Linked DNA regions of Arabidopsis thaliana. The protein of the gene in region 3 interacts with the protein of the main gene of each other region in a biochemical or structural test. Each region holds a gene or a part of one and is shown on either strand. Other genes may lie near its edges.

Region 1 (6,349 bases), on a different chromosome or scaffold from region 3:
CCTACAACTTCTAAGAGACAAGGTGTGGGTGAAAAAGGTAGTGACAAAATCGATCTGTCTTGCAATTTAGCAACACAACTATCTCTTTTGAAAGAGATAGGCATTTGTATCTTTACCTAAACACCAAACCCAGTCCTTTTTATCTCTCTCTCTATACATGACTCAAAGATATTTTACTCTTGCACTACACTATTCTCTCATAAGCAACACAGAGCCTCACTTTGAATCGAGTTGTCAATAGTCCCAGATAATATTTCTGCAGTGTTCACAGAGTTGAGATGTGACTTTGTGCATCAGAAGCATTGGCAGACCTGGTTGGATTACAAGATCTGAACCAAATCTCTCTCTGTGGTCAGCTCCCCATCCCTTGCTTCAAACCAACTGGATCTTAATGGGTTTTTCTTGTCTTATGTCTCTTTCATGTCTGCAATTCTGTCTTTTTTTCTTTAACTCTTCTGACACTCTTTTAGCATCAGCTCATACTATAAATCTTTAGAAGTGAGCTCTCTTTTTCTCATCTCACTTTCCCTTCTCTGCATCTTTAGAAATAAAAAAGCATCAATGGACCCAAACACACCTGCAGACTTCTTCAAAGGTTCTTCCAAGTTTCATACATATTACTCACAGACCAAAAAGGGTGGTGGGGTAATCGATCTAGGCCTCAGCCTTAGGACCATACAACATGAAACTTACCTCCCACCGGCGCGAAGTGAGTTTTTTTTTTTTGCTGAATAGCCGTGCTTTCACCTCATCATTAGTTAGTTTTCTTAATCCTCAACTTGCTACCTTCAATATCTATATGTGAATCAAAGTGATAGGTCTCGACGGGTATGGAGAGCTCATAGACTGGTCGCAGCCCAGCTATAACAGCATTACACAGTTGAAGAGTGAGGACACTGGACACCAAAGACTTGCCCAAGGATATTACAATAATGAAGGAGAGAGCAGAGGAAAATATGCTTACGTAAAGGTAAATCTGGATGGCCTAGTGGTAGGGCGCAAGGTTTGCCTTGTTGATCAAGGAGCTTACGCAACTCTTGCTCTTCAGCTCAATGATATGTTTGGTAAGCCGTGTTCTGACCCCCAAGCTTCCAGCTACAAGTATGTTTCAGAAGGTTTTGCCACATTAATTCGAATCTGCAGGGATGCAGACCGTGTCGGGATTGAGGTTGTTCCAGACTGAGTCTGAGTTCTCTTTGGTCTACAGAGACAGAGAAGGCATTTGGAGGAATGTTGGGGATGTTCCATGGAAGTAAGCTCTTACATTTTCTCTATACAAAAACTAAGCATTTTAAGTTAACCACTTTGTAATTTGTCTGAAACCTGTAGGGAGTTTGTCGAAAGCGTGGATCGGATGCGAATCGCAAGAAGAAACGATGCTCTTCTTCCCTTTTAAGCTTTTAAGTCCAAGCTTCTTCTGGGGCGTTCACTGATTATCTAAGATCCAAATTAGCTCACTTGTGGTTCTATTGTTCAATATCTGATGTAATGGAAGCTTTAAGCTATAAATACGATTATGAAGAGAGGGACATCTTAATAACCAACCACCAACAAGACTGGGACAAATAAAAGAACAAAATAAAACAAAACAAACGGTAACCACATTAGTGTCATCAGGCTTATGCTTCAAAATACATTGCAGCTTCAAATTTCAAAACAAGCTTTATGTGCAATCTCTAGATGTCTCAATCGCCGGCCACGGGTAATCTGTCGAGCGTATCAGAAACGTGCCTCATGGTAGGCCTTTTCTCTGGACTGCTATTCACGCAACTGATTGCAATCTTAAGAACAGCAACAATCTCGTCTTCCGTCTCTGCCTCAGGAGCCAAACAAGGATCAAGAACATCACACAATGGTTTCTTCTCCTCAATGCATACCTGTACCCACCGCACTAGATCCATTTCCGATGTCCCCACCTCCACTGCGGGAGACCTACCCGCTATCAATTCCAGTAAAATGATCCCATAAGAGTAAACATCCCACTTCTGTGAAGGTTTTACCATCTTGAGAGTCTCAGGTGCTTGATAGTAGGATCCAGAAGAAGAGTGAGCAGTGAACTCCGAAGATACGCTCTTGTGATGGTGTTGTTGCCTCTCTTGCGGCTGTTGATCCGTTTGGATGATTCTGTTAGACTGTATGGTCGGAGAAGATCCTCCAGCGATGTTAGCTAACCGTGCTAGTCCAAAATCTGAGATCTTAGGTTCCATGTCCTGTCCAATGAGAATGTTGCTTGGCTTGAGATCTCCATGGACGTATTTCTTGGGACTAAACTCATGCAGATAAACAAGCCCTGTAGCAATCCCTTTCATTATCCTCAACCGTTCAGACCATGTCAACGGAGCGATGGTCATCATCCCCGGCTTTCCTGCACATACACACACACACATTTACGATGATGTAACTGAATAATGCATCTTGAAATGAGAAAAGAGTGACTCACCGTGGAGGGCGGTTGCGAGGTTACCGTTGGAAACATAGTCGTAGATGAGAAGCTTTTCATCGACAGACCAATAATAAGCTCGAAGACTAGCAATGTTAGGATGTTTTAGTTTCCCTATGGCTTCAACTTCTGTCTGAAACTCCTTGAATCTCTGAGACCCTCCTTCACCCAATCTCCGTACGGCCAGTGTGAGCCCGTTCTCTAGAACCACTTTGTAGACAATTCCGATTCCGCTCTTCCCCAGAACGAAAGCTGACGCCTTTAGCAGCTCCTCCAGGTTAAACGCAACCTGAGCGTCGAGGGGAACAATGTCGCAATGCTCCACGTTTTCAGATGGCGTTTCGGATTCGTCTTTACGGAAACACAGACACTCAGAAGCCCTTTTCTTGGATTCTTTCTCGACTCCGAATTGGTTCTCGCGGTTACAAGCGCAGAACTTTGAGTAGCAGTAAGTGAAAAGCAAACCCACAAGGCAGATACCAAACACGTCGCAGAGAACAATGGCAATGACGGCGCTTTTGCTCAAACCACTTGATTTCTGTTTGGTTTCAGAGTTAGTACTATCAGAATCCTCAGGTGGGTTGTTGCTTGGGATAAAAGGGTAAGAGGCATTGAGGCCAAGTTGATATCCTTGGCAAAGGTCCTTCAATGGAGGCCCGCATAGACCAGTGTTGCCGATAAACGCTGTTGGTCCTCTGTTCATAAGAGCACCGGTTTGAGGAATGGGACCGGAGAGATTATTGAAAGTGAGATCAATGTAAACCTTTTCAGGAAGATCTCCAAGGGCAGGTGGGATTGAGCCGGTGAAGTGATTATGAGAGAAATCAGCAGTTCCTTGAAGGTTGGAGAGGTTTCCAATGTCGCTGGGGATGGAGCCGTTGAATTGGTTGAAGGCGAGGTCGAGTTTCTCCAGAGAGACGAACGCTGAGCCAAACCCATCAGGCAAAGGACCAGACAAGTTGTTTCTGCTGACATCGAGTGTTTTAAGTCTGTTGCATTGCAGAATCGAAAGTGGTAACGACCCGTTGAAGAGATTCTGTGACAAATCTAAGGTCTGAAGAAGCTTCAGCTTACCGATCTCTTCCGACAATGACCCATCAAAGGAATTGCCGTAAAGGACTAGACTTTGGAGTCCCTGAAGATGGAAAAGCTGAATAGGCAACGACCCATAAAACCTATTGCTCCGGAGATTCAAGTGACGGAGACTGGAGAGAAACCCTAGAGACGAAGGGAGAGAACCGTAAAGATTCTTCCTTGGAATGCTTAGAGACACCACCCTGAGTTCTTTGCAAGTTACACCGTTCCACGAACAGGCGTTCTCGTCTGATGAGTTCCAATTGTTAAGAGAACCTGTAGGATCATCGTGAACGCTTTGTTTAAACGTTAAGAGCGCAAAGCCTTCGTCGTTTAAGCCACTTATGACAGTCACATTGCAGAGAAGAGCAACGAAGATGATCAGCGAGGCCAACATTATCAGATGCAAATTAGAACAAAAAGACGAGTGTTGGCTTTGTACAAAGCAAAGAGAGATAGTAGCAAGAAGAGTGTGATATTGATGGAGTGAAGAGTAAAGTGAAAAAGATACTCTCGTTGAAGAAAAAGGAGAAAGAAAGAATACAAAAAGTAGAGAGAAAGAGAGAGAGAGCTCTGTTTTTGCATTGGGAGAAGAGAATTAACAAAAAAAAAAGAAATGACCAAAGAAAGAGGTGAAAGTTGGAGAAAAGAGAAGGCCATGGCGAAGTAATCCATACGCTAATTTGACCACTAATCTAATGGGTTTGAATGGTAACAAACTTAAGCTTTATACAGTTTTGAATCGATCATAAAAACTTTATTAAAAGTGTTACAAAAAGTTTTACTTTTAGCTTTTTTGTACAGCTTTTTTATACAGCTTCTTCTAACAGTTTTGCACTATTCCGATAAAGCTAATAGCTTCAGCTAACAGGTAAAAAACTTGTCCAGCTTTTGGTTACCAATCAGACCCAATATCTTTGTAATCTCTCCTATATACAAAATGTTACAAATGCAGATATCTTTATTCAAATAGTTACATCTTGTAATACCTTTTGTCATGATTGTTGTTTTATTCCGAAAAGTAATATATTGGGGTCCTTTGATTGATCTGTCAAGTGTCAATGTAGGTAACATTTACAGTGTTTGTCCTTTTCTATTAATCTATCTTGTCAATATATTACTACTACAGTAGTATCATTCATTTTTTATTTCTTAGATGATGTTGCTCTAGCACGAAACTCCATAAAATACCAAGTGATGCATATTAATAGAGTGTAGCAAGTGTAGTAACAAGTAGTAACAAGTGTAGTTTCAAATGAGCATTGAACAAACTAGTTACGATTGGGAGAGAGCAAACATAACAGTGGAGTTTACTAGAGAAGAAAGGTGCCACAAGATACCACCACGCTCTTCCTGCTTTCTTTATTCCTCGAGTCTGCTTTTACAGTACTAGTACTACCTCTTTTATATCTTACTTTACCATATAAATCACAGCTCATCTTTCTTATTTTACTTAGAATAGTAGCTTGACATGTTTTTTCGCAAGAAGAAGATTCATATAATAAACGATTATAAATGTGGTTTAGATTTAGCTAAAGCCTTAAAAGGGTAAAAGGAGAGGACATGTGTACAAACATTAGTCCGGCCCTTATTGTCGTTATGGTGATACGATAAAATTGTCGATAAGTAGACTTGGTGAAGTGTGATGTCTCCTAGTTTCTTAGGATAGAGAGCCCCAAAAAAACCTAAACCTAAACCCAGAGAGAGTGTGCCAGAGTGGGCCTATTTTCTCCTCACGGACTAACGGCGACGACTCCGAGGCTACATACTAGTAAATCAAACAACTTGGGTTTTAGTGCAATATAAAATTATTTTGGGCATAAATTGTAATTATGGAAACGTTTGGGCATGAATTGTTATTACGGAAACTGTTGGGGATAAATTGAAATTACGGAAACTTTGGGGGGCTTAATTTGGCTTTTTGCTGGCACGGCAATGGGAGGAGACGAAACCGAGAGAAACAATGGGAGACGCTGCGATCCGTACCGTCGTCGAAGCCATTCACTCATCTCCGACGCAGGCCGTCGTCTATCTTTGCGGCGGTGCCTCTCTGGTTTCACTCTCTCTCTTTATGATTGATTCGTATATACACAAGTATGTGATTGCTCTGTGCTTTTGAGTGATCGAAATTGAATTCTCTTTCAGGCTTTAGGTTGGTTGATGTCGGTTCCTGGAGCGTCGAACACGCTTCTCGAGTCCGTGGTTCCTTATTCGAGAGTATCTATGGTTCAATTACTCGGCAGGGTTTGTTCATAAACCTCTCAATTTCATTATAGCAATCGATGTTTCTCTTCTCTCCATTAATCAGCTGATTTTCGTTCGCTCTCTTTTAGGTTCCGAGCCAACACTGTAGCCAAGCATTGGCCAAGGAGATGGCCTTGTTAGCCTACAATCGGGCGCTTAAGCTCTCTAAACCAGGTACTTGCTCTCTTTCTTCACTTCACCATCCTTTGTTAGCAAGAAGTCCTGGAATATAGTAATGTGGATTGGTGTAACTTCCTTAATCTTGTGGATAGGATATCCGGTTCTCGGTGTCGGGTTTACGGGATCATTGGTAACTTCTCGTCCTAAGCGTGGAGATCACAGGTTATGCAATTTTGTTTCCTGCTCTTTATAGTAATATACTTGTTTGCTTGAAATGAAAGCTATCACAATAAGCTAGTTCTCTAGCATGGCCCTTTATTCTTTCTGTCACTCATAGTTTTTGTTTGTTGCGCGAGAGTATAGGTTCTTTTTGTCTATGAGAGCATCCGACCGGATTTTGGAATCTTCAGTCACTCTAACTAAGGTGATTGCTGCAACCTTCTCTCTCCCATATTGCTTTACTCTTTTCTA
Region 2 (9,167 bases), on a different chromosome or scaffold from region 3:
TTTTTTTTGAGTTAGCAAAGCTATGCATATAAGTTTATGATTATGTATATGAGGTATTTCTCAAAGTCCTAAGTCAAATTCTTATAAGTGTCACATTAATGAATCAAATAATTGAGGGAACACATTTAATGAGGATATTATTTCGATGGTGTAAAATGATTTGGTTGAGAGAAAATGACAAGAGTGGTCCGTTACCTTGCCCAGCCGTAATTACAGCTTACAAGTTGGAACCACAAAACCGTTGACTAAGTCAACTCGAAAGAACAATCAGTCTTTAGATTCTCCTTGAATTTTCTTATCTTCAATATTGTCAAGGATATGCTTTTTTCTATATTATGTGGACATAAGTAATCATCTGATAACCATTAATGACAATGACTTCACTTTGTAGTTTGTAAGCAATGTGTTGCCTTAGTTGACTATAGATTATTACAACATATGAATCTTGTTTGATCCTTTGTCAATTTGTCAAGTTGTGCTACTTGATATCCTTCTCTTGTTTCTTTGCTCCGTCCAATATTCTGCTCAGATACTTTCTTTTTCCAACAAAAAGTAAATTTTTGTCACCAAATTTTATGTACCTTTTGGATTAAGTATATATATTTGATTATATTCCCAATGGCTTGGAGCAATCATTTTATGGTTTTAAAAGTAGAATAAGCAGTTATAGTGTGAATGTGTGATATTTATTTTAAAAATGTTTGAAGGACACTCAGACCAACTCCAACGGGAGTTTCTCATAAAATCTCTCACCAATAAAATAAGAAAAAAATGTCAAAAGGAGGAGAGAGGTAAGGGAAAGTTTTCTTTAGAGAAACCAAGAAAAACTCATCGACAACGTTTCTCACAGTTGTCATTCAATCATTGGTTTAATTAAAATACTTTCCAATTAAATATTAATAATATTTGTGTTCACACTTATATTTATGTTCACACATATATTGAGAATCGGAAGTTGAGAAGTTGCCGTTGCTGATGCTCTCAATCTGTTATTTCCAAAATTGTCCCGTTCTATTCCATGTTTTGCCCCAATGTCGACCAAACTATTTCTATGATTTGCCCCAATGAAGAGAATCTATAAACCAAATTTCATCAATTTTGTAATTTGAAAAGCTAGGAGGTGAGTTTGCTTCTTTTATTGTCAGGAATTTCTTCTGTTTCCGTACTGGTGACTGGATCTCTTAGGTGACGCTGCTTATATACAAAGGTCACTCTGCATGTTAGAAGTTGAAGGGTCATAAGCAAATGCTATAGTTATTAATTCATGGTTATTTTTGGTAAAAGAAACATGCACCACCACCCATTATTTAATTCATGGTTAGTTGGAATAAACTGAAACATGGGGGAAAAAAGACTTTGAACTTCTATTGTAATTAGAAGTTCATTGCTTACAAAAAATAAAATTGATGCACAAAATTTAGGATAGTTGTAAAGGATATATAGGGTAAAATAATGATCCACGCGATACAATAGGAAATATAATCAGGACCTCTACCGAGCCATAGGGGCCACTTCAGTTCCGAAGGTCATGCTCACTTCCCTGGAGCTTTCAGAGGCCAAACACTCTTTCAGTTCAAAAACAACTTGAGACATTGTCGGTCTTGTCATCGAAGAAGGATTCATACATGACATTGCTAGTTCAACAGCTTTCCAAACAGAACCAGAATTATAATCTCCAAGGAGATTTGGATCAGTAATACTTTTGATGTCTCCTTTCGTAAGCATTCCTCCCACCCATTCTGCTATATGTCTCTTTTCGCGGTTTTGGTCTATCACGGGTTGGTTTGTAATCATCACCAATAATACAACTCCAAAACTATACACATCACTTTTCTCCGTCAACCAATTTGTTCGGTAATATCTATAAAATAGTTCAAAGTGCAAGAATATTACGTAATCATTGGAGACAAAATATCTACAAAATATATTTTCTTATTGAAGAAGTAATACTTACTCGGGATCGAGGTAACCAATAGTTCCAGCAACAACAGTTGATACATGAGTTTCCCCTTCTATCGGGAATGATCTCGAAAGCCCAAAATCAGCAAGTTTGGTATCGAAATGTTCATTCAACAATATATTTGTGGTTTTAACATCTCTATGAACCATTAAGGGTTTGCATCCATTATGCAAGTACTCTAATCCTATGAAAAATATTATTTTCACAAAGTTTCAGTCAGTCAAAGCAAAAGAAACAAAGAAAGAATATGATGAGGTTAGGTATTTGAGAAATCAATACGAACCTTGTGCAGCCTCGAGAGCTATCTTTAGCCTTGTTCCCCAATTTAATATAGAACCACCTCGTTTTCCTATGTATTGTTAAAAAAATAACTAATGTGTGTTAGATTCTTACATTCAATAGACAAATATTCAAAATTATATTCAAAAAAATAACTAATGAGTGAATTGTAAATGACAAAAAAATATATTATTCTGAGTTATTATTTGTTTTTCTTTTTCTTAAAGAGTTACCATTTGGTATGTTATAGTTTCACCATGATGTATTGTTATGAAAACCAAATATGTTGCCTTTCTAGTAAAAACAAATATTATGTTTACCTGACATATGCTCATCTAAGTCTCCATTGGCCATGTATTCGTAGATGAGAGCCAATTTATCTCCTTCTTCGCAATACCCGACAAGGCCTACCAAATTCTTGTGATGTACTCTAAGAAGAAGTTCAACCTAACGTACCATAATGATACACCAAATTAGCTTTGAAAGAAACTCTGGAATGTTTCACACAAAATTCCATTATGAGTTGTGGTATGAATACCTCAGCTTTAAATTGCTTATATCCTTGAGCTGATGAATGGGAAAGCATTTTCACAGCAACCTGCTCTGTACCGTTTACTGAACCATAATATACAATTCCAAATCCTCCTTTTCCAAGGATTTTTTGGAAATTGTTTGTCATGGTTAAAACCTCCGCATACGTAAATTTTTTATTCTTCGTCACTATTGTCGGTTCAGATGATCTACTATCCGCGGGTAGCATACATGATGTTGGAGCTAAAGTTGTGATGAAAACATTCAATGAAACTATGCAAGTTTAATGTGTGTGTATTCATAAGTATCTTGATCGATGAATATAATGTGAATACCTTCATCGTTTGACGGGTTATTCTTTCGAACAACACAAAATATCATCAATGCAACTGTGAAGGCAACAACAGAACCAATTGATGCCACAATTGGGATTGTCATGCTCTTTATCTGTCGTCCACCCTCTTCATCTTTGTTTACACATGACTCCACTGTGCAATTAAGCTTCGGATTGCCTTCAATGCTTTGGATTGCAAGTCAAGAAAAAATTAGTTTATCATAAAAAAACATGTTAGTATCAAACAAATACAATATACAAATTCTTACTTCAATTTCAACATTTTCTTCTCTATAAGCTTTTGAGGAACTACACCACTGAGATTGTTCCCACTTAAGTTTCTGTTTAGATAGAGACATAGATCAAGCACAAGGATCAAGGGCTAATAGACATCATTCTCATGGGAAACTTACATGACCAAGAGCGACTTCATATCCGCTAGAAATTCAGGAACACCTCCAGACAAGTTGTTATTTGACAAGTCCCTATAACGATTAAGATAAAATAACCATTCATCTTAGTAATTTCTACCAACATTTTTTTTTTAAAAACTAATGATGCTTATCTATATAGTTATCTGATACTGACAGTTCTTGTAAATTGGCGAGATTCTGAATGGTCAGCACGATAATTCCAGTCAATCCACTTGAAGACAAGTTTCTAGTGATGAAAAAATAATGAGTATGTTAAGTGTACAAAAGAAAAGTAGGAAAACGATGAAATCATGTCCTTACAAGGAAGTGATAATTGGTGGCGTAGAATCATCCGAGTTGTTGCAGTTTAAACCATCCCACAAGAACTTTTTGGGTACACATGGATCTCCTTGCCAGGTTGTTTTACTCAATCCATAAGTAGATTGTATATTCTTGATAGCAATCACTAGTAATTATTTATAAAGTTAGTTGATATCAATATTCATATTTTGTAACTGTCTTCAAAGGTTCCATGTTTCTATCTTTCTTTCTTGAGCTACTATATATATGGTTAGTCTAGTTTCTATTCAAGTTCGGTATATATTTAAAGCTTAACATTAAAACCCGAAAAGAATATAAGTATATGAAAAACACACATACCTTCATCTACATTTGTTTCTATCTGTGGGAAATCAAGCACAGTGTAAGCCTCCATAGCATTAATTAGAGGCGGCAAAGTGGACCTTGACGTTTTCACTAACTGCAACAAGCATTTCCCTCCATCGCATTGCTTTGGTGCTGTGCTATATACTGTTTGCATTTCTAAAAACTTAGGACTATAAGATTTAAATGTAACATTTCCGTTCAACACCACATTGAATTCCCTCGTCTCGTTGGCTTGTAGACTTTGAAGCTCTGCAAAGTGAAGGAATAAGTAAAACTGTGAAGTTGGAGGCTCTAAGTTCCAGGGAAATTCCATCGTCGTTGTGCTAGCTTTAATGGGTGTTACAGCTGTTTTCATTACACGTTGGGGTAGATCATAATCATTAGAAACGTTTATTTGGAGATTCGTAGTTAAAATCTGCCAATCCTGGTAAGGTAGGATTTGTTTCCATATGCGATCGTGGACATCATCGGGGTACCTGGCACAAACTTACATTAAACATAATATGTTTGTCTACTCTAGAGCAAAAAATATAATGATCAAGCAAGCGATTCTTACTCTATATAGCCCTTTAAATTGCTATAATAAACCCGAAAAAGATAGTTGAGGGAGCCACTTTCGTTGGTGTATATATCGTCGGCCAATGGTCGTAGTTCCAATGTATTTATATAAGGTATACTTGTACCTGTCTTAACAAGACACACTTGCAAAGTGTTTGATTTCGATACGTGGAGGATCTCCTTGATAGTGTTATCAGTATTCACCGTGATCCACATATTTGGGCCGATGTAAAGATCAAAATCCGGGATGACATTACGACCATCATAGTTTCCATAGAGAAAGGTTGGCTTGATTAGATACTTTGTTCCCCTTGTGACATTCAGACTGAAACAATTTCTTACTCCATCAGGAAAGTATCTTAGCGTCCGCTCCGGTTTCTTGTATAATGACTCGAGTTCCTTGGTGATTTTACCAATTTTCCCGCTCTGGACGAAACCATCGTCTGACGTATATGTTAGACCGGTCGAGGATTCTTTGTAAGGAGAGCCTTGAATTGACAAACCACAATCCAAATTGATGAATCCTATAGTATGTAGGAGACTACATTAATAGGCGATTATTAGGTTCCTATGACTAAAGAATACGCAATAAGTATTAGGAAAATGACAAGTAGTGAACATTGAACAATAGTGGATTTTGAGCATTTTGGACGATGTTACCGCTTTCTTTATTTTCTTTGTTTTGACTGAAAATTTTACCTCTTTCACTTTCGGACGAGTGTTTTTCTTTTACTGCAACGTGTTATTTGTTTTACTTATAATATCTAACTAGATAAGAACTCGCACAATTTGTGCGGAATAAAACAATTCAAGTAAAATTATTATTTATGATCCATAACATGTAATTAAAGTTTTTTTTATTATAAGAATATGTTTTACCTATAAATATTTGAACATGGAATAAAACTTCAACGTGATGGAGAAAGTATTGACAAAATGTTACCATTTATGATAATATGTCTTTCTATGTTTTTAAGAATCAAATTCATATCTTTTATGTTTTATCAAGTAATCATAACCTTTGTTTTATGTTTCTTATAAAGAAAGGATTAGTTACTTGATTATTTTGCTTAAGGTTGTGTAATATATTTATTTTGGAAAGATTAGATTGCTTAATTGTTACTCTTTATTAGAATTTTGTATATAAGACTAATGGCAAAATCTGTAAATAATCTAGTAAAAGTTGGATAATTATTGAAATTGGCGAAGAATCATTGCGAGAGCAACATGTTAGCATGACATTCTCGTTAATAACAAATCAAAATAAAATTTGTGTGTTTTAAGTGTTTCTCTATTAATATATTGGAGATTTGTCAAATATAGTTTTGATAAAAGTTTTTGACTTTTTGTTCATGTCATTTAAGTGTTGCAGAATATGTCATTTTTTTTTTACTGTACCTGTTTCTATATATGGACATCTAATTTATTAAATCGATATCTTTTTTATAATTGATGTTTTAGGATTGTGTACAAATTAAAAATCAATTATTTTTTTTTTCTAAACTAAAACATCAATTATGTACCATCTAAGAATATAACCAATAATAAAAAAAAAAAATCTGCACATGTTAATTAATTTTGTATTAAAAACTGAAAACATCATATAATTTAGAACAAATTATTTTCTTTAAATCATCAATTATAAAGTGGAGGGGGTATCTATTTTTTTTTTTTTTGGAGGGAGTATCTATCTACGCCACATAAATATGTGATCTTTATATATTCAGAATTACTATATGCAAGCACGCTAAAACCAATTTTCCTAAATAAATCTGGTTTAGAAGTGCATTTAATAATATATAATGTGTTGTGTTTTGCCAATAACTAACCTAAAAAAAATCTTTGTATTTTGTCATTTATTCACTTAACTTTAAATCAATATCACTACGATAAACAAATATGGGTACAGGTTACGTACCTATTGGGTCCTGAGCTTGAACAAGATGTAGTATAAGGGAAAAAATCACAAAGAACAAACAATGTCTCTCCATTTTTCTGCTTGACTTTCTAAAAGGAGATTTCAACATTTAACAAACTGAGATTAGCTTTCAATTTATAATATCAATCCATGGATATTATATGAGCCACTTCCCAAATGGGAATATTAAAAAAAAAAAACTAACACACTGATGAGTTATTAAAAATACGAAATTCCTTGTGCAACCTGATAACGGCAGAGAGCAAAATGGGAGAAATTTAATCTTCAACGATGACACAAAGTAGTGCTCGAAGATTATCTCATGTCCACATTAATAGAAGACCATTGACTCATTGAACAATTATGTTCCAGCTACTTCTTCCTTCTAAATCCCTCACGTTTATTCCTAGGCTTACACGTTGTACTTGTTCTCAGATTAAAGGCCATCCATCTCCATTAACCTAACTAAACCAAATTGAACCGATCGATGTGAACATTTTTTTAATTTTATATTTGTAGAATATATTTTACTTTGCTTTCCAAAATACAAATGCAAGCAGCAGGATCTCCTTCCATTTTTATGTGGCATAAATATGGAAAAATGTACACGTTAAATGTAACAGTAAATGCAAACGAACGAATGATTAAGGTCTTTATTAGGGAAAAAAAACAAATGATCATGTCTTAACCTAAACCGAAGCGACACCATTCTAATTTAGAAAATGTATAATCCTACTTGTAGTTGACAACAGCATAAAACTAGAAAACTAGGCAGATAAAGTTTCTGACAATATGCACGAAGACGTGGAACACTTGGGGTTTTCTATGCATTTTACAATTTTTGCCGGACACATGTTGTCTTTTTAATATATTTTTCATAATGAATTAAGGCTTAATTATCTCGCAAATTTTTTTCTAAACAGATGCATTCATTGTAAACAAGTTTTCTTGTGGAATATAATTTTACATTCTTTCAAAAAAAAAAAGAATTAAGGCTTAATTATCTCGCAAAATTTACAAACTTTGAGGTTTTCTACACACCTTTTTCAAAATTAACAAATCCGTACACATATAAGAATCTCGTACAGGTTTGGGATAGAAAACTATTGTGCCATGCTGGTGCCATTAAGTAAGTCAACTTCATCTTCCTCTCGTGTACTGTCAACCTTCCTAGACTCCTATAGTTTTAATCTATGTTAAAATATTTTGAGGATTATGTACGACAATAAAAAAATAATGTACGGCAGGTTAGGAAAATAGGTTTTAAGTGTTTGAAAATGTCAATTACATGTAGACATTGGTATATTGAGAGATTACGAGCTCTCAATAGTTTTTCAAGAGAGACACTGGAACGTGCATACAACTTTCAAACGCTAACTCCGTCATGATTTTGTTTTCGTTTTTAAATTTTCAGAATTGGGATGTTTTGGTTAACGCAAACCTTGATGTTGAGGAAAAGGAGATTATGAATTGTAGCGGTTTCTCTTGGTCTAAAACGTTATAAAGCAATTTTCGTGATTGTTGTCAAACGCTAGCAACTGCAGAGCCTCTCCATTCTGTTTTCATCAAATCACTCTGTTTGATACCGAGACTCTATTTTGCTGTAATTTATCTTTAAATTTGCCCATTCAATTTTTTTTAGGTTATAGCCCGTAATCTCCACAGACCTGAAACAATAGCATGTAATATTAGTTTCGTCCCGAACATCACTCGAATCTGCGACTTCTAAATTTCGCCTAAAACTTTTACCAGTTGAGCTAACGACACATGGTTGTCCATTCAATTATGAATACAAAGTCCTTGTCTCTTCTTTTCTTTCCTCAGATACAATAACTTTTACTTTTCATCTTCACATTCTAATTGTAGAGAATAGTTGGTTAAATATTGGGTTAAATTATATTTGGTATAGTGTAAATACACAATTAATAAATTAACCACAAATATATAAACCAAAATAAGAAAACACTCTTATATTTATTTGTAAATCACTCACAATACAAAGTTTATAACTTAATAACAAATACACTCAAATCTCACACCACTCTTTATTTTTCTCAAACCTCACACTCTATTTCTACGTTGCATGATATTGCAACTTCTCTCTCTCTCTTGTATTGTATGTTATGGGATGATTGCTCTCGTTTAATTCCTCTCAATTTATAGAGAGTTCGCAACCTACTTTTGTTGACTAAATGAGCAACCACCACTTCTTATTTTCAACAATAAACACTACTTAAATATTCAACAAAAAACACTGCTTTGACTAAAAGTTACCGCATGTGAAAGTGATGATGCAATTCTTTCAACACTAATATCTCAGCGGAATTTAAACTGAAGTATCACACTAAGACAAAAAAAGATTTTGTGTAACATGTATTAATATGGAGTTTATAGCTCGATATATAACAAAGATGATCAATATATTATTTACTAGAAGTTATCCACGCGATGCGTGGATTTTATATTCGGTTTTAGTTTTGAATATAGAATAATATTTATATTAAATAT
Region 3 (7,608 bases):
TTGTCGAATTTTAATATTCATTTAGCATTTGGTTTTGTACGGTATAAAGTTTGTACTTGTACTAATGGCATACATATTTAGGATGCATAGTCTATACTTGTGCCAATGGCATATATTTTTAGAATCAATCGCAACAGCACCTAACATGTGGGAGAAAACGTATGTTTGGAATGGGCCAATGTGGCCCAATAGAATCTAGTGTAGCTAATGTCCATTGGTACCAATCTATTGTCACATACATAAGTATTGAGATACGGTCCAAGCAGCTCTCAACATCAAATTTCCTTAAACATTAACAACGTTGTAACTGCTGGATATTTGCGGTGAACTCATCATTGTGCACGACGACATTGGCGTAATTGTTTTTGCTTTATATGATTTACTTGAGATTTTTTTAAATATATTTTTTTTATTTTTTTCTATATTTATATTTTTTTTCTCAATTAATTTGGTGTTACGTGATGTTTTGGTTTTTGTAATTATTGAATCTAGATAACACAGATTATGTAACAAAGCTATATATATAATAATAATAATAATAATTAAGATGCAGTACATATAATAATTAGGTAATATTCCCTCCGTCCAACGAAAATAGATTTTTCAAATTTTATATCAAGTCCGATCGGAATTAAATGTTAAGAAAGACGTATTTTTTGTTGCTTTACGGAATTGCTGGTTTTAGTGGTTTTCGTTAGAAAAGAAATTTGGTGACTCTGAAAATATGTATGTACTGTGACCGGTGGTCCCACTTTCTGACTTCAAACAACATATGTGAGTAACGGCTCAACTATCGATGCAATCAATTGTGGAACACATTCCAAGCCATTTATTATCCCAACTATGTGAGAAACCATCTCCGTTCGACGGTTCTAGAAGCCCACAAACTATCTTCGGCCGTGGGTATAATACAAGGTAAAATTTATGTATTGAGTGTTCATCTTAGATCGTGGGTTGTTCAGGTATACAACATCAAGTACTCGGATTCACTCTAGGAGATTTTCAATATTGCTTTCGACGAGAGGCTAGAAAAAACATACGGTCTTTCTTTGTATATACAAGGTATGCACAAAATCTTCACTTATCAAGAAAACTTTGTGTAAACATTTCTTTGTTCTATTGGAAATATATATATTCAATCCATGTGTCATTATTTTGTCGCAGGTGGATCTCGATCTTATTAAACGGAATCCGATCTGCCGAGTTGGAATATGAGTGATATTTTGATTTATCTTTTTGATTCAAGATACTTTATTTGATTATCTCTTGGTATTTACAATTCTACCTTTGGTTATTGGACTTGACAATTCCATCTTAAACATGTGTATACTCTTAATTGCAATCTGGCTTGTCAAATTTAATTTTCACTTAGCATTTGGTTTTGTATGGTATAAAGTTTGTGAGGTGGTATTTACGATGTAAGGAATAAGAACTTAGATCAAATAAATAAGTAACTGGGCCAAGAGGCCCATTAAGTGCAAAGATGCAACGTGGTTAGATAACAGCAGCCCATTTATTAGCCTCATTCACACATCATTACAGAAACTTTTCGTTTTTTATATAATTGCCCCAAAGTATAAAACATTTCGATTCCCACCCCATACAAAACGAATTGCTAGTTTGCTACCCGAGAATATCAAAACTCAAAAGACTGGTCTGGTTTGATCATCGAAAAATATTATAAATTAACGGGAATTTTTTATCAACAAGAGATCAAATCATAACCACACATAAAAAATAATTAAAAATTGACGTCAAAAAATAAATATTGATCGTGTGTGTGTGTGTCTTTCTTTCTATACATCTTTCATACTCCGTCGACTCGACGCGCCACGGCTACTTCCTCTCGCTGACGATCCAGTCGCTAAACCCTCCGCCTGAGACAGAAGGCTACTTGTTCCCGCTGCGACAGGATCAGACACGCTCTGTCTCCAACTACCAAATATTCGACCGCTACTCGAAGATCCTCTCGAAGATCCAGTCGTACGGAATCTCTCAGATTCGCTGCTGTCTTCTCTCACAACTCTCAGTGGATTCTCCAAGGCTTGTACTATGTGTCTCATAAGCGGCCGTCTCGTTGGTTTTGGGTTAAGACAAGATCTAGCGACGATTGCCATTGCCCAGACTTCTTCTAAGAGGTCTTCGTCGACCAGAAGAGATTGGTCTAGAATGTTCATTACGGGTTCTTTCTCTTGCGATGAAATGTAAGGCATGATCTCGGTTAGGATTTTTTTGAATTGGGTTTCTTTACATGAGCTGATTCCGAGTTTCCCTGTGATAAGCTCCAGAAGTATCTTGCCGAAGCAGTACACATCGTAGGCACATGTTGCTGTAGCTGCAGACCCTGGGAATTTTAGGGATTGTTAGAATAGTTAAGAAATTAGCAAGCTTGTTTTATGCATTTGAAGATAAACTCACCAGGAACACTTTCTTGAGAAGACCTGAAGAGGGAAACAGTAGCAAGCTTGTTTGTTAGATGTTTAAATCAAAATTGGTTATATGATGAATCAGAGGCACTTACTGGGATAGTCTGAGCAATCGGGCTATTTTCCGTGGACGGCCATTGTTTTCTTGATGACAAGCTTTGCTAAAGCTTCCAAGCCTAACTTCAAACTTATCATCCAAGAGAATGCTACTTGCTTGAATATCCCTTATTGAACATTGGAAGACTCAAGATCAGTAATGAACTAATGGTGGCTTGAAAGTAAAAAAAGAGTAAAAGGAATGGTTTTTCATACCTGTGGACGACGGATGGTGAGCAATCATGGTGCAGGTAAGCAAGTCCCTCTGCTACTCCCAATGCTATTTTCAGTCTGGTGATCCAATCGAGAGATCTCAATCCGTTGTCAACTAGGGAATTGGATTTATAGAACAATGAGCTTGGTAAATCCCTATTCAGCATGTACTTGTATACCAAGAACTTATGAGTTGCGCTCTCTAAGCTCTTCCCTACGAATGGGATTATTCTCGGATGCGCAAACCGGCTGAAGAAATCCAACTCGGTTAGATAAGCTTCGTTGTTCTTTGTAGATTCCAAGCTGATTCTTTTCACAACGATCTGAACTCCGTTTTCTAGAACTCCCTTGAAAAGATCCCCAGATTGTCCTTTCTTGATCAGGTTTGAATCACTGAACTCCTTGGTGGCATTGAGCAACTGCTGATAGGTAAATGATGATCCAAGACTCCCAAAGTTTATAGAGACTCCTCCTCTTGAGGGAAGTGTTTCATCAGGAGGTAATGGGCCAACACCGTTGTGTCTTCCTCTAGGATGATTACTTGTTGATGATCTGTTTCTTCGACGGACACAGAAACTCACTGTTATTGGTAACACTATGAGAATGAGCATAAGCAATATAGACCCTCCAACTGCAGCAAGTATAACTATTTTCGTGTGGCTTAACCAGGAAGTTTTAGAACTCTTCTTCTCTTCATGTTGTCCGAAATTGTTGAAAGTTAAGCCCTTTTTTGAATAAAACAAAGTGCAATCCGACAACTTCCGCTGCTTCTCTGGGCCCTGAAGACAATTGTTGCTCAATGAAGCTCTGGTTGGCACAAAGTCAGGAATTTTACCTTCAAAATAGTTTTCTGACAGGTCAACAACTTGGAACCTTGTCAGTAAAAGTGTGAGATTGCCGTAAAACATGTTCCCGGATATGTTAAGCATGGAGACAGTAGAATCAAAACTGACAGTGGTATTAGGCAGCATGTCAGAGAAGTGATTTCCAGAAATATCTAGAAACTTGAGCTCCGGTAACGACCATAACCTGGACGGTAAAGCGCCTATGAAACCACTGCCTCTGAAGTCAATGATCTGAAGTTTACTCAGCAAACTAAACAGATCAGGAGGTAGGGATCCTGAAAGGCGATTTCCCGCAATTACCAATGTCTGCAAGTTCCTTAGCCCTTTCAAATCTGATGGAACCGAACCTGACATTCCGTTGAAGCTGAGATCAAGGTCAATTAAAACAGAGAGGTCTCCGAGTGATGGAGGTATTGAAGAAGTCAAGGTGTTACGCGAAAGATTCAGACGCTGGAGCTTTGAGAGTGCCCCAATATTAGCAGGAATCGAACCAAACACCGAGTTTGAGGAAAGATCAAGGATTGATAGATTCTGAAGAGAGGTAAGAGACAGAGGAATATCCCCATTGATCGCATTCTTTGAAAGATCAAGAACTTTGAGATGTGATAACCGAGTCAAACTTTCAGGGATGGTTCCTGTGATTGAACAGGAGCTAAGGTCCAACACCTCTAAAGTCAACAGACTCGATCCAAACAAAGCCGGGATTGGACCTGGAAGATAGAACCTTGAGGCGTTGAAGGAAGCTAGACGGGTGAGATTGACGAGAGAACCAACTGAGAATTCCGGGTTTTGATTCCCAATCCTTGTCCTTCTGAACCCTGAAATGTTGATCTTAGTTACTCTACCATTCTGATCACATTTGATGCCGTTCCAGTTCAGACAAGGATTGCCTTTTACAGGCCAATCTCTGCTTCGTAACCCAAGAGAAGACCTTAACAGCAGAAGCGCCGATTTCTCATTCAGAGAACTTGTCTGTTGCTCAAACGTTGACTCTAACAACAAGAGGAGGAATAAGAAGAAGACCAACAAGGATGTCTTCCTCAGAACCACCATGGTTTCTCTAAACCCTGGTGACGACTAGTACTTCGAAAAACTTAAAGCCATTCATTGCCTAAGATTCAATTGGAAAAAAGCTTCGCGATTTATGGAAATAATCAAATCTCTTTTTTTTTTGGGTTTCCTTCGAATCCGATCAATAAAGGAAACTTTCTTTTTGTGATTATTCAACAAAGATATATACTAAAAAAGGTTCTTCACTCTGTTACCTCTGCGACTTTCTCTGGCAATTACTTTTCTCTGTGCACTTCAGAATCAAAAACGATTCATTGTTGTTTACCAATCATTTTCTGCTGCCTCTCTCTCTCTCTAACTCTTCCATGTTTTTTTTTGTCCTAGATTTAGAGAGAGAAAGATGGAAAGTCTGATATAATACGAAACAGATATTTTTATATAATATTTGATAAAAACTTCTTCTTACAGAACTGTTCTGGACAGAGAAAGCTTCAGACTGGTCAAGAACAGCGGCCGTTCGAAGAAAAGAGAAGAAAGTATAAGAAAATAAAAAAAGTGAGAGAAGGTGGATCTTTCGTTGTATACGTGCACGTTCCCAAGATTTATGGTTCGATCTCGTGACCGAGACGCAGATACAGTAATTGAAAGTGAAGTTCTGAATACGGCGTCGTTTGAGGAGTTTGACTCTCAACGATCCCGCCCAAGACAGCTTAACGAACTCTTAAATTAATATCATTTCAAAAATACTTAAAGTTTCTGCTGACGTTTAATATGATAACCACCATTTTAGTAGTTTTGCAAATAAATAATTGAATTCCTAGGAGCTACGATGCTACTCCATTTCTGTAAATTTTGTATGACAATTATTTTTCCTCGTATTAAAACGACCAAAATATACTAATAATAATTGTGGCTTTATTATGAGCAAAATGATTTAGTTGTCACTCTTATAAAAAGTCGACGATACTTTTTCATATTACCTGCGATATATTAATAATCAGATTTCTTAAAAAAATCTTAGCCAGGTTATTTCTTGTTGAAAAAGCTCTTCTACACGCTTTAGTCAGCATTTTCAGCACAAAAATCGAAATCAAGATACTGAACCATTTGTAATTGACTTTGTATAACTACTACATCTTCATTCTTCATCCGTCTAATTTTGGTATACAAAATAATTAATCCTGTAAAAAAATAATATTCAGACAGTCAAAATATTTCAAGTACAGAGCGAGTGTATCCAAATATTCAATGATTGAAAATTGAATTCCATTGAAAGATTTATATGTTCACATATCTGCACATCTAGCTTTCATTTGAATATCACTTAACATACCAAAATATTTGTACAACAAAAAACGTCTATGCTAAAGTTTGGATATTACAGACTGTAACATGTCCACGATGCTATTGCGATAAGAATCTTTTCATATGAATTTATTGCATGTCATAATTAATGACAAAACAAATATGTAAATCCATAGCACATTATCGTCATAGTCTTTGCATATTATTTCATTTTATTGTTTTACTAATTTCGCCGTCAGATTCATTGGGCCGGAAGTTATAATCTTTCCAATTAAATTAGATAGGCCCAATAAACGAAACTCAGACCCAACTATTGTATGACATAATGACGACGAGACGAAGGACAAAATTGTCATTTAAGGAATAAAAGATATTCTTACAAAGATATTTTTTGCTCGAAACGAGGAGAAAAAATCATTAGTTATCGAAAATGCTCACATGATGTGGGCCTAACCACTAACCCAATTAACCACACATCTTAATCAGAGTAAGTTGAAACAAATCTTTCAGCAAACCCTAGAAAACATGTTTAACCCTAGTTATTACGTCACACCTGTTCTATAAATTAAGGCTGCGTCTTATCACCTCAAATCACATAAGTCTCTCTCTTACATTTTGAAACCCTAATTTCTCTTCTTTTCCCCAAAAAAAAATGTCTGAAGTTGAGTACCGGTGCTTTGTCGGCGGCCTTGCCTGGGCCACCAATGATGAAGATCTTCAAAGGACGTTCTCACAGTTCGGCGACGTTATCGATTCTAAGGTCTGTTACACGAGAGATCGGTCTCCCGGATCGAGCCGATTCCGATGATTCTGATCCTCGACGGATCTGATTCCGATCTGTTTCTCTGTTACTTGATTCGATTACTGTTACTATGTTCTCTCTCGTTCTTTGTTACTGTTACTTAATTTGTCCCATCGGTACGTTCATCTTCCTGCTTCTATGAGCTCGGAGATCGATCGATTTTTGCTTTATATTCATCGCTTTGTTTTATATTCCTTCCACGATTGTTTTTGCTGATGTGTATGATTTTGTTTGTTTACAGATCATTAACGACCGCGAGAGTGGAAGATCAAGGGGATTCGGATTCGTCACCTTCAAGGACGAGAAAGCCATGAGGGATGCGATTGAAGAGATGAACGGTAAAGAGCTCGATGGACGTGTCATCACCGTGAACGAGGCTCAGTCGAGAGGTAGCGGCGGTGGCGGAGGAGGCCGTGGTGGAAGCGGTGGTGGTTACCGCAGCGGAGGCGGTGGTGGATACTCAGGAGGCGGTGGCGGCGGATACTCAGGAGGAGGCGGTGGTGGTTACGAGAGACGTAGCGGAGGTTACGGATCTGGTGGAGGCGGTGGTGGCCGAGGATACGGTGGTGGTGGACGCCGTGAGGGAGGTGGCTACGGAGGCGGTGATGGTGGAAGTTACGGAGGCGGTGGTGGCGGCTGGTAATCAAAGATAGAGTTGTTTGCGTGCTGCTGCTCTGTTTTTGGTTTAGATTTGGTTTTGTGTCACCACTTCTGGTTTGGTTATCGTTCGTTTGGTTTACTTTTTTGATGAAACAGTTTCGTTTAAGTCTTCTTTGTCTGGAACGAAATGTTAATTCGCGTGTTGTTTACTAAATTTATAACGTTTCCTTTTAACCAGATTCGAGATTTTCCCTCAAATAATTTATCTTGTTAGACACATGTATTTAATCGAACAGCAGCTAAAGGATTC

The links.
Region 1: the proteins of AT4G39270 (region 3) and AT2G01210 form a complex in vitro, tested with the Arabidopsis thaliana proteins (one large-scale study listed by BioGRID).
Region 2: the proteins of AT4G39270 (region 3) and AT1G51810 form a complex in vitro, tested with the Arabidopsis thaliana proteins (one large-scale study listed by BioGRID).

The regions. Positions count from the first base shown.
Region 1 is NC_003071.7:117,824-124,172, forward strand, and holds AT2G01210 (Leucine-rich repeat protein kinase family protein), read right to left. Parts: upstream 4,158-6,349; 5' UTR 3,912-4,157; coding exon 2,441-3,911; intron 2,366-2,440; coding exon 1,686-2,365; 3' UTR 1,447-1,685; downstream 1-1,446. Other genes in the region: IAA32 (indole-3-acetic acid inducible 32), read left to right, coding at 562-709, 813-1,064, 1,144-1,252, 1,330-1,396; AT2G01220 (Nucleotidylyl transferase superfamily protein), read left to right, coding at 5,478-5,567, 5,660-5,758, 5,848-5,932, 6,031-6,100, 6,242-6,302.
Region 2 is NC_003070.9:19,225,628-19,234,794, forward strand, and holds AT1G51810 (Leucine-rich repeat protein kinase family protein), read right to left. Parts: upstream 6,733-9,167; 5' UTR 6,660-6,732; intron 5,316-6,659; 5' UTR 4,958-5,315; coding exon 4,740-4,957; intron 4,660-4,739; coding exon 4,178-4,659; intron 3,984-4,177; coding exon 3,839-3,983; intron 3,765-3,838; coding exon 3,693-3,764; intron 3,590-3,692; coding exon 3,518-3,589; intron 3,446-3,517; coding exon 3,374-3,445; intron 3,291-3,373; coding exon 3,106-3,290; intron 3,014-3,105; coding exon 2,778-3,013; intron 2,687-2,777; coding exon 2,560-2,686; intron 2,310-2,559; coding exon 2,244-2,309; intron 2,145-2,243; coding exon 1,955-2,144; intron 1,862-1,954; coding exon 1,492-1,861; 3' UTR 1,447-1,491; downstream 1-1,446.
Region 3 is NC_003075.7:18,273,899-18,281,506, reverse strand, and holds AT4G39270 (Leucine-rich repeat protein kinase family protein), read right to left. Parts: upstream 5,197-7,608; 5' UTR 4,634-5,196; coding exon 2,739-4,633; coding exon of another isoform or gene 2,651-2,738; coding exon 2,522-2,650; coding exon of another isoform or gene 2,518-2,521; exon of another isoform or gene 2,442-2,517; coding exon 2,419-2,441; coding exon of another isoform or gene 2,381-2,418; exon of another isoform or gene 2,345-2,380; coding exon 1,797-2,344; 3' UTR 1,566-1,796; downstream 1-1,565. Other genes in the region: AT4G39280 (phenylalanyl-tRNA synthetase, putative / phenylalanine-tRNA ligase), read left to right, coding at 1,165-1,215; CCR1 (cold, circadian rhythm, and RNA binding 1), read left to right, coding at 6,549-6,656, 6,940-7,341.